2 linked regions of the Callithrix jacchus genome follow. The protein of the gene in region 1 purifies or fractionates together with the protein of each later gene. This does not show direct contact. Links are inferred from orthologs where the notes say so. Each region holds a gene or a part of one and is shown on either strand. Other genes may lie near its edges.

Evidence for each region.
Region 2: the proteins of BAZ1B (region 1) and MYO1C purify together in Homo sapiens (affinity purification with western blotting; 3 studies listed by BioGRID, with this or other methods). This does not show direct contact. The link is inferred for Callithrix jacchus from reciprocal best matches to the Homo sapiens genes BAZ1B and MYO1C.

Annotation. Positions count from the first base shown.
Region 1 is NC_133503.1:10,210,349-10,214,157, reverse strand, and holds part of BAZ1B (tyrosine-protein kinase BAZ1B), read right to left. Parts: intron 2,675-3,809; coding exon 973-2,674; intron 1-972. UniProt on the Homo sapiens protein: Atypical tyrosine-protein kinase that plays a central role in chromatin remodeling and acts as a transcription regulator. Involved in DNA damage response by phosphorylating 'Tyr-142' of histone H2AX (H2AXY142ph).
Region 2 is NC_133506.1:66,755,854-66,759,662, reverse strand, and holds part of MYO1C (unconventional myosin-Ic), read right to left. Parts: intron 3,809-3,809; coding exon 3,726-3,808; intron 3,507-3,725; coding exon 3,401-3,506; intron 3,228-3,400; coding exon 3,147-3,227; intron 2,877-3,146; coding exon 2,785-2,876; intron 766-2,784; coding exon 671-765; intron 594-670; coding exon 547-593; intron 438-546; coding exon 357-437; intron 1-356.

The sequences.
Region 1 (3,809 bases):
AGCTGGGACCTGGTTACTTATCCCCCACAAAGGAACACTGCACAGCTAAGTCAGAGCTGGGACCTGGTTACTTATCCCCCGCAAAGGAACACTGCACAGCTAAGTCAGAGCTGGGACCTGGTTACTTATCCAGCCCAAAGGAACACTGCACAGCTAAGTCAGAGCTGGGACCTGGTTACTTATCCAGCCCAAAGGAACACTGCACAGCTAAGTCAGAGCTGGGACCTGGTTACTTATCCCCCACAAAGGAACACTGCACAGCTAAGTGAGAGCTGGGACCTGGTTACTTATCCCCCACAAAGGAACACTGCACAGCTAAGTGAGAGCTGGGACCTGGTTACTTATCCCCCGCAAAGGAACACTGCACAGCTAAGTCAGAGCTGGGATCTGGTTACTTATCCCCTACAAAGGAACACTGCACAGCTAAGTCAGAGCTGGGATCTGGTTACTTATCCCCTACAAAGGAACACTGCACAGCTAAGTCAGAGCTGGGATCTGGTTACTTATCCCCTACAAAGGAACACTGCACAGCTAAGTCAGAGCTGGGACCTGGTTACTTATCCCCCACAAAGGAACACTGCACAGCTAAGTCAGAGCTGGGACCTGGTTACTTATCCCCCGCAAAGGAACACTGCACAGCTAAGTCAGAGCCGGGACCTGAAGCTAGCTCAGTCCATTCCCAAGTTCTTTGTTGTTTCCACTATGCCTATTTGTGGATTTGGTCTTTTATTAAACCCAGAAAAGATGCCAATATCACATTAACTTATTAACTAATCAGAATGCCAGGCTGAACACTCCAGCTAAACTATGAAATTATCAACAGAACTAAGAAAAAATAAAATACATACCAATAGGTGCTGGGTTACTACATAGAGAAGTAAGTAAGCAAACAGATTCCACCATCAGCTCAGTAATTTCCTTTCTTTTACCATCTTCTACAGAGCTCCCCTTTGTTCTCGCATGAAATTTTACCTTTCATTTCTCTTTCCTGGATTTCCCGTTCCTTCTTAGCTTGAATGGCAAGCAATCTTCTGCTCTTCACAGCACTAATCATGTCTTCAGCTTCTGTATCCACTTGGGGCTCACCCTTCACAACTTCTTTTTTCCTATCGGTTTTGCCTAACCCATTCTCCACTTTTCCATTTTCTTTATTTTTGGCTTCCATTTCTTTCCGTTTCTGTTTCTCTGCTCTCTTCTTATCATTTTCTTCCTTCAAAACAGCAAGCCGCTCCTTCCACAACTCTGCAGACATCTGCTGTCTGGTCTCCATGTGGTCTTGCACTGAGTATGTCATGAGGATCCGGTGGCACAGTGCTGTCAAGATCTGTAGCTTCTCTTCTGACGTCAGCTCAAAAAATTCAGAGGTCTCCAGCTTTTCTAGGAACTCATCTTGTACCTCATTATCCTCAAATGCAGCTGAATCTTTATTGTCATCCGTGTCTGAGCCCTCACTTTCCTCCTGAACATCAGATCTACGCAAGCAGAGCCTCACCAGCTCTGAAACAGAATGCAGCGTCAAAGGGATTTCTGACAGCTTCATTCCCAATTCACCATAGTCTTCTGCTATCTCATCTTGTAGTAGGGTCTGTAAGAGGATGACCAACACCCTATTAAGATATAAGAAGCCACCCTTATCTGCACTCAAGGCTTCCATAAGGGACACAGCAGTAATAGGATACTGAGCATCTGGTAAGAGTAGCCCAGAATAACAACTCAAGAACTCCACCACCATGGCCACATCCCCAAACAGCGTGTTGGGCAGTCCTTCAGGGGTATCCACCAATCTGAATGCTGGAAGGTTTTTGCCAGTTAACTCTTGGTCCTCATAACGCTTCTGTTTTTCTAATCTCTCAAGCATTTCTTTCTCTCTTCGTTCTTTGGCTTTTTCCTTCAACTTCTTTTTCAGCTCCTCCCGTTTCTTTTTCAAATATTCTTTCCGTTGCTCTTCAGACATAGAAGCCCACCTCTTTTTGTGCTCTAGAAGTTCATATCGTTTTTGAACAAGACTTCGCAATTCTTCTGGGAGACGAGCTCTGTCTTCACTAGAGAGAAGACGAGCTGTTTTGGAGATAACACAGGACAGGGCGCTCCTCTTGTCTTCCCTGTCTTTGTTTTCTTTGTAGTAGGCAATTAGGTGTAGGGCTGCAGGGGGCAGATGTTTATGAGGTTTACTAGAGGACCTAGGTGTACCCCCAGAGTTCCGTGGGGCCCGTGTCATCTTTTGCGTGCCTTTGGCCATATCCAACAAAGTCATCTGCTTCATTTTGGTTTTAGGAGTCTTCAGTCCTTTTTTGGGAGATTTGGAATTCCCTGTGGACTTCTGTCCATTCAGGATGCCTTTGCTTCTGCCCTTTGCCTTCAAAGGCTTGTCACTGTGCTTCCCTGGTTTCTTGGCAGCTGGGCCTTTTTTAGGAATGTGAAAGTTAGCGTGCAGCTTATTGGGCGACATCATCTTCATCACTTCTTCTAGATGGTCTTCGGGAGATCTGGAATTCTTTGAGTTCTTCACTTTGAGTGGTGAGCCACTCAATGACTTTTTCAAGTGTACATGACACCATAACTTAGGGTTTAGTGGTGAACTCAGAGAAGGGTTGTCTGTCTTAGATTTCTTTGAGGGCTTCCTGTCTGGGGATCCAGTATTCTTCCTCTTAGTAGAAGGGTTGAGAGTCATATACTAGAATTTAAGAATAGGAGCAAAATTAATTTGAAAAACTAAAACTAACTTAAAGAAGCAACATTTAAGCATCTTAAAGGCTCTCTTCCCCAGTTATTCAGGTAAAGCTACATAGTCTTATACCTTCACAGAAACTGTGTCCCTGAAAAAAACAAAGAAATAAATGTTAGCTAATGTTTTTGCCATGTCAACACAAAATTCCCTTGATATCCAGACTTGATACTAGACATTTTTGCTATGTAACTAGTTCTTTGTTTATATATATTAATGGTTCTTAAATAGTTTAACAAAATCTGTGAACCCCTCCACCAGAAATAGTAGACAAAAACTATGCATACAGTTTCAGAGAATCCATCCATGGATCCCAGATTAAAGATGTCTGCTCTACATCTTTAAAGATCTGAAAAGTTTAAAAAGCACTGTTCCTGAAACAAGACTAATTTTCATCCTTTCACTATTTGTTCTTAGGCAAGGCATTCTATGCTTTTAAGTAGAAATGATACCATTTTAAGTACTTTTGTCTAAACTCTGAAGCATATTTTCTAATAGAAGCATTGGTGAGCCTAAGAACAACATGAATACTGCTCACAGAAAAAGATGCCTCCTGACCTGGGCCTCCTGGTATCTCAAACTCCCCGCTGTCCTCACCCCAGGCTTTTGAAAACTCATTCTAGGCGGGCGCAGTGGCTTATGTCTGTAATCCCAGCATTCTGGGACGCTGAGGTAGGCGGATCACTTGAGGTCAGCAGTTGGGAGACCAGCTTGGCCAACATGGTGAAACTCCATCTCTACTACAAATACAAATATAGCCAGGCATGGCTTGGTATGGTGGCTCACGCCTGTAATCCCAGCACTTTGGGAGGCCGAGGTAGGTAGATCACCTGAGGTTGGGAGTTAGAGACCAGCCTGATCAACATGGAAAAACCCTGTCTCTACTAAAAATACGAAATTAGCCAGGTGTAGTGGTGCATGCCTGTAATCCTAGCTGCTTGGGAGGCTGAGGCAGGAGAATCACTTGAACCCAGGTGACAGAGGTTGCAGTGAGCAGAGATTGTGCCATTGTACTCCAAACTGAGTAACAAGAGCAAAACTCCATCTCAAAAACAAAAAAGCCAGGTGTGGGGGCACATGCCTG
Region 2 (3,809 bases), on another chromosome or scaffold:
TCGAAACCATCCTGGTCAACATGGTAAAACCCGGTCTCTACTAAAAATACAAACATTAGCTGGGCATGGTGATGCATGCCTGTAGTCCCAGCTACTCGGGAGGCTGAGGCAGGAGAATTGCTTGAACCCAGGAGGCAGAGGTTGCGGTAAGCCGAGATCATGCCATTGCACTCCAGCCTGGGTAACAACAGCGAAACTCCGTCTGAAAAAAAAAAAAAGCAGCAGCCAAAGAGGCACCTAGAAGCAGCCCCCTAGACACCCACAGATGTGCACACGGGCACCAACACGGGCTCACACGCATGCTGCCAGCTCCCAGGCTGGCTCAGCCCTCACCCACGCCTGGCCCCACCCCTCACCGTCTCCGGCCGTTTCTTGTCACTGAGCTCACTCCGGTTGAAGCACTGGCTCATAATGGGATTCTTCGAGCTGCACATGGTCTGTGTGGCAGAGCCGGGGTCAGGCTGGAGCACAGGGACAGGCCCCTGGACACAGGTGCAGAGTTGTGGGTGACCCCTTCCCCCTCGGCCCCCACTTCAGGTCCCTCACCTCCTTCAGGTTCCGGAAGAGAAGGTCATTGTTTTTGTCCAGAAACCCTGGGAGGGGAGAGCACATGTGAGGTGAGACAGAGGCTCCCTGCGGCCCCCGTGAGGACCCAGCCCAGGATCCTCACCAGTCACGCTGTAGGTCACCTCCCCAGCGTAGTGCAGAAGGCGGAATTCCTCTCGGCCCAGAGATTTCCTGGTCCGCTGGTCAGCCAGCTTGTGCCTGAGGTGATGGGGAGGAAGCTGCAGGTGGCCGGACTGCAGGAGGGATCTCAGGAGCAGGAGCCAGCCACCCAGCAAAGAGTAGGCACACCCCAGGGCTGGGTCGTAACCCCTGCGCCGTGTGGGAGGCCAGACAGGGCCAGCAGCCTCCCCCAGCAGAACAGACCACAGTGGCTCAGAGAGGTAGACAGCCTTGCCCAGGGCCACACAGTGCCAGGACCAGGGCCTGGGCCTCCTGACTGCCAGGGCTGCTGCAGGGAGGGCAACTCTCGCTGCTTCGGGCTCTGCTCGAAAGGGGGTGGTGAGCTGCCTGCTGCTTTTCAGAATGGAATCTGCCGCCTGGAGAGAGTACGTTAGTCCAAGGCGTGTTTATACCCTTTGGTCCACTTACTACTTTTAAGAACTATTCCAGGCAATAACCAGAAATACAGACAAAGATAGAAGCATGGAGATGGGTGGTAGCCTTGAGATTCCAGCAGAAACCTGGGGTTGGCCTGGGGCCCCCAAAGGCCAGAGGAAAAAGTGTGTGGGTCAGAGCCTCGGCAAGGAGGGTTTTGAGAAAACTTTCTGTTTGATGCTGCAGGAAAACACTCAGGATACAGCATTGCCCTAAGCCTTGTATACAATAAGTTCCTGACTACAAAAAAAAAAAAAAAAACATATGGAAAAAGGCCAGAGGGAAATGCCTGGTGCTGTTGACAGCCACGGCCTGTAGCTGACAGGTTCACGGGGCTTTTGCGAACATTCCAACGCTTCTCCAACGAGCGGGATCATTTTTATAACCAGAAACAAGTTTTTTTTTTTTTATTTAATGAATCATGCGGCCCCCAAACCAGCATAGATTCAGAGAGACTCCCAGAAACAAGTTTTTTCCTTTTTGAGACAGAGTCTCACTCTGCCACCCAAGCTGGAGTGCAATGGTGGGCTCACTGCAACCTCCACCTCCCGGGTTCAAAGGATTCTCCTGCCTCAGCCTCCCAAGCAGCTGGGATTACAAGTGCGTGCCACCATACCTGACCAATTTTTGTATTTTTAGTAGATGGGGTTTCACTATGTTGGCCAAGGAACTCCTGATGTGAGGTGATCCACCTGCCTCAGCCTCCCAAACTGCTGGGATTACAGGCATGAGCCACCACACCTGGCCAGAAACAAGCCTTATTATGCAAAAAAATACTATGGCTTTGGCATTCAACAGCCTTGGGACTGAGCCCCGCTCAGCTCCCCAGATGAGAGATGACCTGGGGAAAGAAAGGACTTCCCCCTGGAGTCTCGTGAGATGCAGGAACAACAGGACAGCTCCCTACAGAGCGGCTCAGGTTTGGCAATGACGCACGGAACATCCTGGCCGCTGGTTCCTGTTTCTACCTCTCCCCACTTTAGGGGATTCCTTCAATAAAAAGCAATTTCCAAATAAGGAAGCTAAAAAAATCTCAGCAAGTTTTATTCTCAAAAAAGAATAGGGAGGAAACCAGGCTACTAACGTCGTCTTTTTTTTTGGAGACACTGCAACCTCCGCCTCCCGGGTTCAGGCGATTCTCCTGCCTCAGCCTCTCGAGTAGCTGGGATTACAGGTGTGACCCACCACACCTAGCTAATTTTTATATTTTTAGTAGAGACAGGGTTTATGTTGGCCAGGCTGGTCTTTAACTCCTGACCTCAAAAGATCCACCTCTTCGGCTTCCCAAAGTGCTGTGATGACAGATGTGACCATGTGCCCAGCTGTCTTTTTCACTTTTTGAGATGGGATCTTGCTCTGTGGCCGAGGCTGGAGGTGGATTGATCCTCGCTCACTGCAGCCTCAAACTCAGGGCTCAAGTGAAGCTGTGGCCCTAGCCTCCTGTGCAGGTGAGACTCACGCGTTCAGCGTGCTTATCTAAGCTTCTCAGTTTTCTGGGTGCTTGTGAGGGATCCTTAGCTCGGCACCTTCCCTGGACACCCCCTTGCGGCTGTGAGGGATGCCTGTGCTCCACAGGCTCTGCCCCACAGGAACCTTGCTCCAGCTGTCCACAGCCCCACTCACGTCAGGAAGTGGGGGTGGTGCTTGACGGTGTCCTCCAACTTCTCCAGGAACGTCAGGTCTGTGGCCTCGCCAGGGCGCAGACACTCCTCATCCTGGGGGGTGTGGCACAGGGGAGGGATGTGTGGCGGTGGGGCCAGAGAGCAGAGAAGATGGGGGCACCATGACGGGAGGCACAGACACAGGGAGGGGTGGATCTGCAGGGGGCCTCGGCAGGGAGCTTCCAACCCTGGCAGCGACTCCCTCCGCCCTCCATTCACAGCCCGGCCAGGCCCTGACTCCAGCCCTCTGTGGGCCAGCCTGGAGAGGAAGGAGACAGGGCACCTGGGGTACTCCCCCACCAGCCTCCAGCCTGGAGGACTCACCAGAATGGAGATGATGCCCTTGAACTTCTCCTCCACCAGATCGCAGATAACCTTGTTGTTGAAATACAGGACAGGCTCCCACTGAGGGGGACAGGGAAGGAGGCATCACCGTGGGGGCCCAGCGTCCTCAGCCACAGCCAGGCTGTGCCATGGAGAGCGCCCCCAGGCTGTGCCCACGGAGAGTGCCCCCAGGCTGTGCCACAGAGAGCACTCCCAGGCTGTGCCCACGGAGAGCGTTCCCAGGCTCCACGCACCGCGATGCCCTCGGCCTCGTACTCCTCCTGCTCCGACTTGAGCGTGAGCTCGATGAACAGCTGCTGCAGCTTCTCGTTGCAGTAATTGATGCAGAACTGTTCAAAGCTGTGAGGACAGAGAAGAGCCCAGCGCGGCTCAGAGGGCACAGAGGACCAGGAGGGGTGGAAGGCAGGACAGGGCCCCTGAGCACAGACAGTACAAAACACAGAGCCGCCCTCTGGCTGGCTGGGCAGTCCCAGAGCAAGAATCAGGCTGGGGGACAGAAGAGAGGGGCCAGGCCAGGAGACCCAGGAGGAGGGCGGGACAGGGGAAGGCGGCACTGACCTGTTATGCTGAAACACTTCAAAGCCGTAAATATCTAGCAGCCCAAGGACGGTAGTGCTCCGCCAGCTGGGGCTGTCCACATCC